2 linked regions of the Danio rerio genome follow. The protein of the gene in region 2 purifies or fractionates together with the protein of the main gene of each other region. This does not show direct contact. Links are inferred from orthologs where the notes say so. Each region holds a gene or a part of one and is shown on either strand. Other genes may lie near its edges.

The links. The genes of interacting proteins can lie anywhere in the genome.
Region 1: the proteins of zzz3 (region 2) and wdr5 purify together in Homo sapiens (affinity purification with mass spectrometry; 5 studies listed by BioGRID and IntAct, counting the BioPlex papers as one, with this or other methods). This does not show direct contact. The link is inferred for Danio rerio from reciprocal best matches to the Homo sapiens genes ZZZ3 and WDR5.

Annotation. Positions count from the first base shown.
Region 1 is NC_133196.1:19,680,420-19,684,548, reverse strand, and holds the start of wdr5 (WD repeat-containing protein 5), read right to left. Parts: upstream 2,907-4,129; 5' UTR 2,744-2,906; intron 1,403-2,743; 5' UTR 1,353-1,402; coding exon 1,272-1,352; intron 1,087-1,271; coding exon 978-1,086; intron 1-977.
Region 2 is NC_133177.1:9,148,082-9,152,194, forward strand, and holds the start of zzz3 (ZZ-type zinc finger-containing protein 3), read left to right. Parts: upstream 1-1,257; coding exon 1,258-2,657; intron 2,658-4,113.

The DNA of each region.
Region 1 (4,129 bases), on a different chromosome or scaffold from region 2:
CAGTCAAAATCTCTTTTTGACGTCTCAGTCATCTTTTGTTTCACCATTGCAGGGATGGATTTTAATGTTGTAACAAACTATTTGATTTCTCGTTGGGTTCAGGCAGATATCTTCAGCTCTAAGGAGTGGTACATGGTGAGGTCTCCTGCTGCTGTAGCCCATTCGCCTCAAGATTGAACATCTTATGCATTCAGAGATGCTCTTCTGCATACCTCGGTTGTAACGAGTGGTCATTTTAGTTACTGCTGCCTTTTTTTCAAATCAAACCAGTCTGGCCATTCTCCTCTGACCTTTGGCATCAACAAGGCATTTGCACCAACAGAACACCAGCTCACTGGATTATTTCTTTTATTGGCCATTCTCTGTAAATCCTAGAGATGGTTGTGCATGAAAATCCCAGTAGATCAGCAGTTTCTGATATACTCAGATCAGCCTGTCTGGCACCAACAACCATGCCACGTTCAAAGTCACTTAAATCACCTTCCCCATTTGGATGCTCGGTTTGAACTGCAACAGATCGTCTTGACCATATCTACATGCCTAAATACATAGAGTTGCTGTCATGTGACCGACTGATTAAAAATTTGCATTAACGAGCAGTTAACCAGGTGTACATAATAAAGTAGCCAGTGAGTGGATAAGCAAGCGTTTCATTATATCCATGAAAGCATTTGAATGTATGTATGTGTATATATATATATATGTATAATAATGTAACATTATATATATATATATATATATATATATATACACACACACACACACACACACACACACACACACACACACACACACACACATATACATACATATATATATACACACACACACACGCACTTCTTTTTTTCCATCCAGAAATAGCTTTTGAGAGAACTATGTTTATCAAAAAAATAAATAAAAAATTGATGCCTTTGTTAATTCTATATGCTCTAATTATTTCATATTAATGCAAGTGCTGTATTAATACAAGTACTTACACGAGCTGGCGAGCCACTCCCCACTTGGACTGAATTTAACTGAAGAAACTGCTTTTGTATGCCCAGCCAATGTGAACTTCAAGGTGTAGTTTGGCTTGACAGGTGCTGACTGAGATAGAGCAGAATACACATAAACAATGACATTATCACAGATCATATAAAATTTAGATCCATAAAAAAAGCTGCTATACCATTTTTACCACAGTATATCCGAAGCACAATGTAAAAAACACCCATAAGGAAGGAAAAAACTGGTCACAGACGGGCGTTTCCAGCAGTGTTTTTTTTCTTTACCTTACTCTGGCTGGCAGAGGCAGCTGATGCCGGCTGTGTTTTAGTAGCCTCTGTGTCTGGTTTCTTCTCCTCAGTTGCCATGGCGACCAAGTTGGAGAGAATGGGTTTACAGAGGCAAGTTCAACGTCAATCTGAATGGCAAAAGGAGAAGTACTAATGAGTGTTTAAGTGGTTTTACATGCATTTATTTAGCAGACGTCTATTCTAAAATAAAGCAAGTGATGCAGTTCTCACAAAACAGATGAATTTTAATTTAAGACTTCTAATTTGAATGACACAATAAATGCAGGAATTAGGTGTTACAATCAACATTTATGAAATCCCTTAAGAATCCCGTTATAGTTTTAAAAACATTTTATACCGACCTACAGGTAAAACTGAAAAGCACATGTTGGCTTCTTTAGCACACTTGTACGTGTCACATCCTTTTGTGATCATACATGGATCATTTTGTCCCAGTGCTCCAAGTATAATGGTTTCCTAAAATTGTGTGTGATATTAAAGGGATAGGTCAACCTAAAACAAAACTCATTCCCACAACCACCCAGAGGCTCTAAATTTCTTTCTTCTATTCAACAAATATTTTAAAGAATGCAGAGGAAAAAAGCGACCACTGTCTTCATCAGTTGAAAAAAAAATTACTATGGAAGTCAATGGACACTGCTTTTCTACATGTCTTATTTTTGTGTTCATCAGAAGGAAGAAAGTAAAGCAGGCTTGGAATGAGTGGAGGATGATAAAAGAACGAGAAAATTTCTTACTTTTGTGTGAAATATCACTTTAACGTTTGAGAAATTTGGATTTGACCCTAATTTAATTTCCTATATTAAATTGTTGATCTTTTGCATTAGAACTATCACTTTAAGATCACAGCTGTACATGATTATTGAGAAATTGCTGCTAGAAACGGCAACATTGCATATAGAGCATCAGGGGTATGCAAACATATATGTGTAATAGATTAGTATAAACTAAAAGGTTTAGTTGATCTACTATTAATATACGATCAATAGAGAAAAAAAGGCAAACTACAAAAATGAAAACTAGAACAAGAGTTCAATATTATATTGTTTGGTCGATGACATGTTTGTTTGGAACTGAAACAAGTAAAAAAAAAAATAACCTGGATAAACACTAACACTAAAATGCAGGTACATTTTCCAAAGCTCTTGTCTGTGTCAGCGATAGATCTATGAAAACAGCAATACTGTTAACGTTAGCTGCTAGGCTATCTGAGAGGCGCAGGGCCTCAGAGCAACCATGGACCACCTGCAACCCTTGAAATACACCCACATTTACACATTATCGTTTACAAACTCGTGGTTTTACTGCAATCGATCAGGTAAAACCCCCGTCCCTTCCCTCGTAAAATAGTTGAAGCACAGATTAATGGATGTCTTTTCTCGGCACACATGCCTCACTGTCTTTCTCCATACATTCAGACAACAAAAGCAGCAAGTAAAATCACTCACCGGCGGCTGTTAAGCGGACAATAAGAGCTGCTTTCTGCTTTTTGGATGAGTCCACTGCCTGGTTTGAATAGAAATGTAATTATAAATCGCAAGAGAGGCTGTTTTGATCATGTAATGAGCTAGTGATCGAGCTAAATACGATGGTGGATGAGCGCCTCTCTACCGCAGGCTCAGGCGGTAATGTGGCAGTGACAACCACTGCGCACGCGCAAAACATTCTTCTTCTTCTTCTTGTGTGTTTTATGGCGGTTGGCAACCAGCTTTTGGTGCATTACCGCCACCATCTGGATTGGAGTGTGGATCCGGAGTTAACTAAACCATGTTTTATAGTTAAACAAAGCCCAACCATAAAAATCACAAAAAAAAAAAAAAAAAAAACAAAAAAAAAAATAAAAACCCCAAAAAAAATTTAAAATCAAATTTTTGCGCGCAAAACATTACGGCGGATCAAGAGGGACATTTTTTCAAAGGCGAGATGTATCGACTAAACACCGGTCACCATGTGGCAGCATCAGTTATTACATTTTCACTCTTTGATGTTTTTCTAACAATAATTTAATAATTATTTTTAAGTCATTTTGATAATTACAAATGTTATTATTATATAATTAAAATGAGCATACAATACCAGAAAAAGACATTTTATTTACGTATAAAAGTATAACTTAAAGGTGTACTTATTTAGTTCATAAATTGTTCTTTTGAGAAGGTACCGCACAAGTGACAGCTTTTGTACTTTTTGTGTATATCATTATATTATATTACAGGATAAAGACGAATGTGGTTATTGTTTGATTATTTTCAAAGTTTGTCTCCTTCTTTTTCCTTTATTATGTGTATGCTGCTTACAAATTATATGTGAATTATATGAAAACACGCTCTTTCCAAAATATGGAATTATACGAACTGTATTGCTAAGTAACGCTGGGGTTTTATATATTTACTAATTGTTTAAAAGCACCCATGATGTTTTTCTCAATATTAAATATACTTATATAAATCTATATAAATTAGGTTTAGAATAGGGTTCCCTCCATGAGCACGATCACGGGGCATCTACAAGATTGAGAACTTGTGGTTTAATGCTGAACAGCAGATGGTTGAGCGCGCCAATGCGCATGCGCACAGCACTTCGCGTACCTCATCTCTGTGCTCCTGCCCAGCCTCCAAACAAGCGACGAGCCACTGGGATTGCCACACGGTAACTCCTTTCCTGAAGCCTTTGAGTAAGTAATCGTCTGCATTTTTGGTTTAACAACATCTTTTAGTGTAATATTTCGCATTTCGTGGCTATATTTCAATAGGGTCTGCGCTCAATCAGTGAATCACAGGAGAAGCCGTTAGCCAGTGGCTAGTTGTTTTCAACAAAGCGGCAATCTAACAAAG
Region 2 (4,113 bases):
AATCAGAACTACAATCTTTAGAAAGTGCTCAAACATGTTGCTCCTTAACGTGATGCGCACACCATGTGTACGTCACTCCCATGTGCACCTCCTTTGGAAATGACAAACTGACTCTAAGCTTATTGGCATTGCTTCCAAGGTGCGCGCTCGGCAGACACATTTTAATAAAACTATAGCGCTTCATACCGAAACTACATACCAAACTTTTTTTGTTACTGATATCGACAATGGTGTTCAGTTAATAAATACAGTTAAATCTTTCTCCTAACCATCTCAGGTCACGTATTTTTTATTTATATTTTTTTCATACAAGTTAAAGAAATCATAACTACTGCGCTTCTACCACCTCAGTTTCCCAGAACTTCTGGAGCTTGTTTAGTCATAAAAGCCTGTGATCTCGATTTTTATCGCCCAGCCCTATGCTTCACCCCTGAGCCTGACATCATTATTAGACAATTCAACACCCAAGTAGACCCATATTCCTATGCTTTGCTCAGTCCAGGGTGCAGAGCCCTTGAATGGGGACTTAAATGTTACCATGACAAAGCAAAGCAGCAACCACAGAAATGTTTTATTGTTTATTTTCCGAGCGATTAAATTGAAGTTTTATAATTATGTTTTCAAAATATGCTGTCAATTTCAATCTCTTCCAGTACTAAACACAATTCTTACCTATGAAGTACTAAGAGAAAGTGTTGGTGGTATTTCACAAATGTAATTGAGTATTTAAGGAATTTAATTGAGTGTACTAGAGGTTATAGGAGGAATGTGTTTTCTGCAGTCTGTTTATATATCAATAATAATACAATTGGTTACAGTGAAGTAAGCATTAGTCTTTAATCAAGAACATGATCTTTCAACTGTTAGTTCTGCAGCTTTATCGTACGTTTTTGTTTTTTAATTTTTAAAAGTTAAAACTTTTCTGTGTGTAAATGTAACTTCTTATGAACTTGTTTTACATGAATCCACTACATTTCAGAATATACTAACCTCTGTTTAAACTTGTGAACATTTCAGTGCTGTGCAGCAACTTTGATTTAACCTGAGCACATTTGCATGCATTCTCAAATATGTATGTTCTTCAGGAACAGCAACCGATTACATCTTTTCTGTCTATTTTTTGTTATACACTTAAACCTGTGTAATTTAGAATCTGAACGGTCTGTAATTAGTCTCTCATTGTGTCACTCAGGTGCCCACATACTGCTGCTGAGGAGAGAGCACCACGATGAGGAGACAGTAGGCACCCACCATAGTATGGCCGCGTCCCGCTCTTCGCGCGTCACAAGATCATCAGTGGGGATAAATGGATTGGATGAGAACTTTTGTGGCCGAACCCTCAGGAACCGCAGCATCGCCCAGCCGGAAGAGAGCTCTCCGCCTCCCGTGCCCAGAGCTCGCTCACCCAAAAAGAAGCAGGACTGTCAGCAGCACCAGCAGACCGGAGCACAGGTTGGAAAGGTAACTGAGAGCAAAGCGGAGGGCGAACCCGTGCCTGCATGTGGAAAACGTGGCTTGCCGAGCTCCGAGAAGGAAGATTCGGACAAATTTGATAACTGTGAGCGTCAAAGGTCTGGGTGTGGGCCTGAAGCCTCACCTGCCCTGAAGAGGGCCAAACGCTGTCCTCGCTCAGGTGAATCACAGGGGGCAGAGGAAGAGCCTTCTCTCAAACCCGAGAGCCCCGATCCTGCTGTATTGAAGGAAAATGACGATGGCGCCAAATCAAATAATACTTCAGCCTCAGACAAAGAGGCTGATCAGAAAAAGGATGGCCCAACAGAAGAGATCGCCCCTCAACCAGAGGTCAGCGAGAACGTCAAAGCAACCAATGGCCTCGCTGAACTCTATAGAGAGGACTCAGAAGTTGCGGCCTTACCTGTGGAGCCCTGTGCCTCCCCTGCCACACTCAACAGCAGTCCCTCACTGTTAAATGGCAGCCAGGCTGCGCCCTCATCCCCCGACCCTATTGTGCCTTGTAGATCCCCTCATCCCAAGCAAACCAATGAGCCCGACAGCCCTAAAATTGACTGTGAGAGGAACTGCACACCTGAGGAAGCCGCTGAGGCTGTGCTGTCTCAGGAACCCGAGATGGAGGTAGAGGTCGATGTTGTGGGAGAGGCTGGCCAGGCTCAGGATGAATTCGTGAGAGAGGAGAGCACCAATGGTGACTTTCAGGCTGAACCACAGGACCCTTCTGACAACTGCTCGAATATCTCAGGAGAAACGCTGTTGGCTGCTTCTCAGCTGCCCGCCGAGCCCCCCTCCTTCACAGAGCCTCAAGAACACCGCTACACCCTGAGGACTTCACCGCGCCGCGCTGCCTTTGGTAGCGGGCTCAAAGCCAGCTCCCCCAAACCCACTTCCCCACACATAGACAATGGTTCACTGAAGGAAGAGACCACAATGGTTCCTTTTTTCTCAGAGGACACCAGCCATAAAGACCCTTCCCATGATGCACTGGGACTTTCTTGCGAGGCAGACAGTGAACTTTTCGAGGAAGAGGTTGTCAGCGGAGAGGTCGGAGTGTCTGATAGTAGAGAGTCAAGATCCACCAAAGAGCTGCTGGCTGCTCAGGCTGAGGAAGATGAGGAGGAGGAAGAGGACCCAGATGTCTACTATTTTGAGTCGGATCACTTGGCTCTCAAACACAACAAAGAGTATGTTTAGGTTTACGTTCTTTCATTTGAATCTTTTTCATAATTGCGGTGATTCAAGATTATTGATTAGAAATTTGCTTTTGGCTACCCCAAACCCAGCATTTAAACCCAACAACCCAACTTTGAATACAACGGACATGAATCATGTAGCTTTATGAGAAGTCTTAAGTCGACTGTCAGCCAGAAATACTGTAGGTTAAGAAGTATGTTTTGGTTGACTTTTATGTCTGTCACCAGTTTGAACCTGTTAAAAAAAATCTACAAATTAAAAATCTTTGATCCATATTCAGATTTTCAGATCAGCTACATTTCTATTAAAATTATTGGACTTTGTTGGTGATCTGAAAATCTGACTGCAACTGTAGTTTGGACAGACCAGAGCAATGTTTAAAAACCTATAGTATCGTTCATCTGTTGCTTTAAGGAACCTCATAATGGCGCGTTTTCACTAAGCCGGACGGTACGGTACGGGTCTGTACGAGTCACCTTTATCAGGGTTGCGTTTCCATTGCCAAAAGGGTACCAATGGTACTCTTTTGGTGGGCATGGTATTCAACAGAAAGTTTCAGTCAACGTCCTTCTAGCTTGAGGAAATGTCAAAGTAAAGCTGTGCAATCAGTGCAAACCTCTCATCTGTATCTTTAATCTTCACCTGCGGTTAAAAAAGCTATTCATAAGTTTATAATAGTTCAAAAGGCGACAATAGTAGTTAAACATTGTCGTTTGTTCATGGTTTAGGTTGCTGAAAGAATCATTTGCTCATTTGTTTTTTTGTTTTTCTGGCTTCTTTTTTGTTTTTTCGCACTATACTCTCGCGTTGGTCTGTTTCTGAAAGGATTGGATGTCTGAAGCACTTTATTAATCATGCGCACGTTATTATAATCAGCTCAAAAAGTTTGTTATTTCAAATATAGAAGCATGACGAACGCACACAAGACAGCAAAACTGCTCGCCCTTTAAATAACTACTGGCCACAGGGTAGATTCTGCTCTTTTTGGCTTTGTGGCTGTTCATCAAGACAACGACAAGGTTGTTTGAGCTCAGGTCAACCATGGTTCGTTATTATATGTATATATTATTATGGTCTAGTGCAGGGGTCACCAATCTTTGTTCTGGAGGGCCAGTGTCCCTGCAGGGTTTAGCTCCAACTTGCCCTAATCCACCTGCCTGAGTGTTTTAAGTATACCTAGTATTGTACATATGTATTTGATTAGGGTTGGAGCTAAAATCTGCAGTACACAGACCCTTCAGGAACAAGTTTGGTGACCCCTGGTGTAATGTCTCAGCTGTGTATTTAAAAAAGGTGATTCCTTTGTTTTTATTCTCCTGCTTTTGCGTGTAACGTATCTCTGTAAACCAGTAGCGTTTAGTTGCACGTCTTGCTCCGCCCTTTGGTACCCTTTTGTTGTGCTAGGTACCCTTTGCAAAGGGTACCCAAAAGTGGTACGGTTTGCTT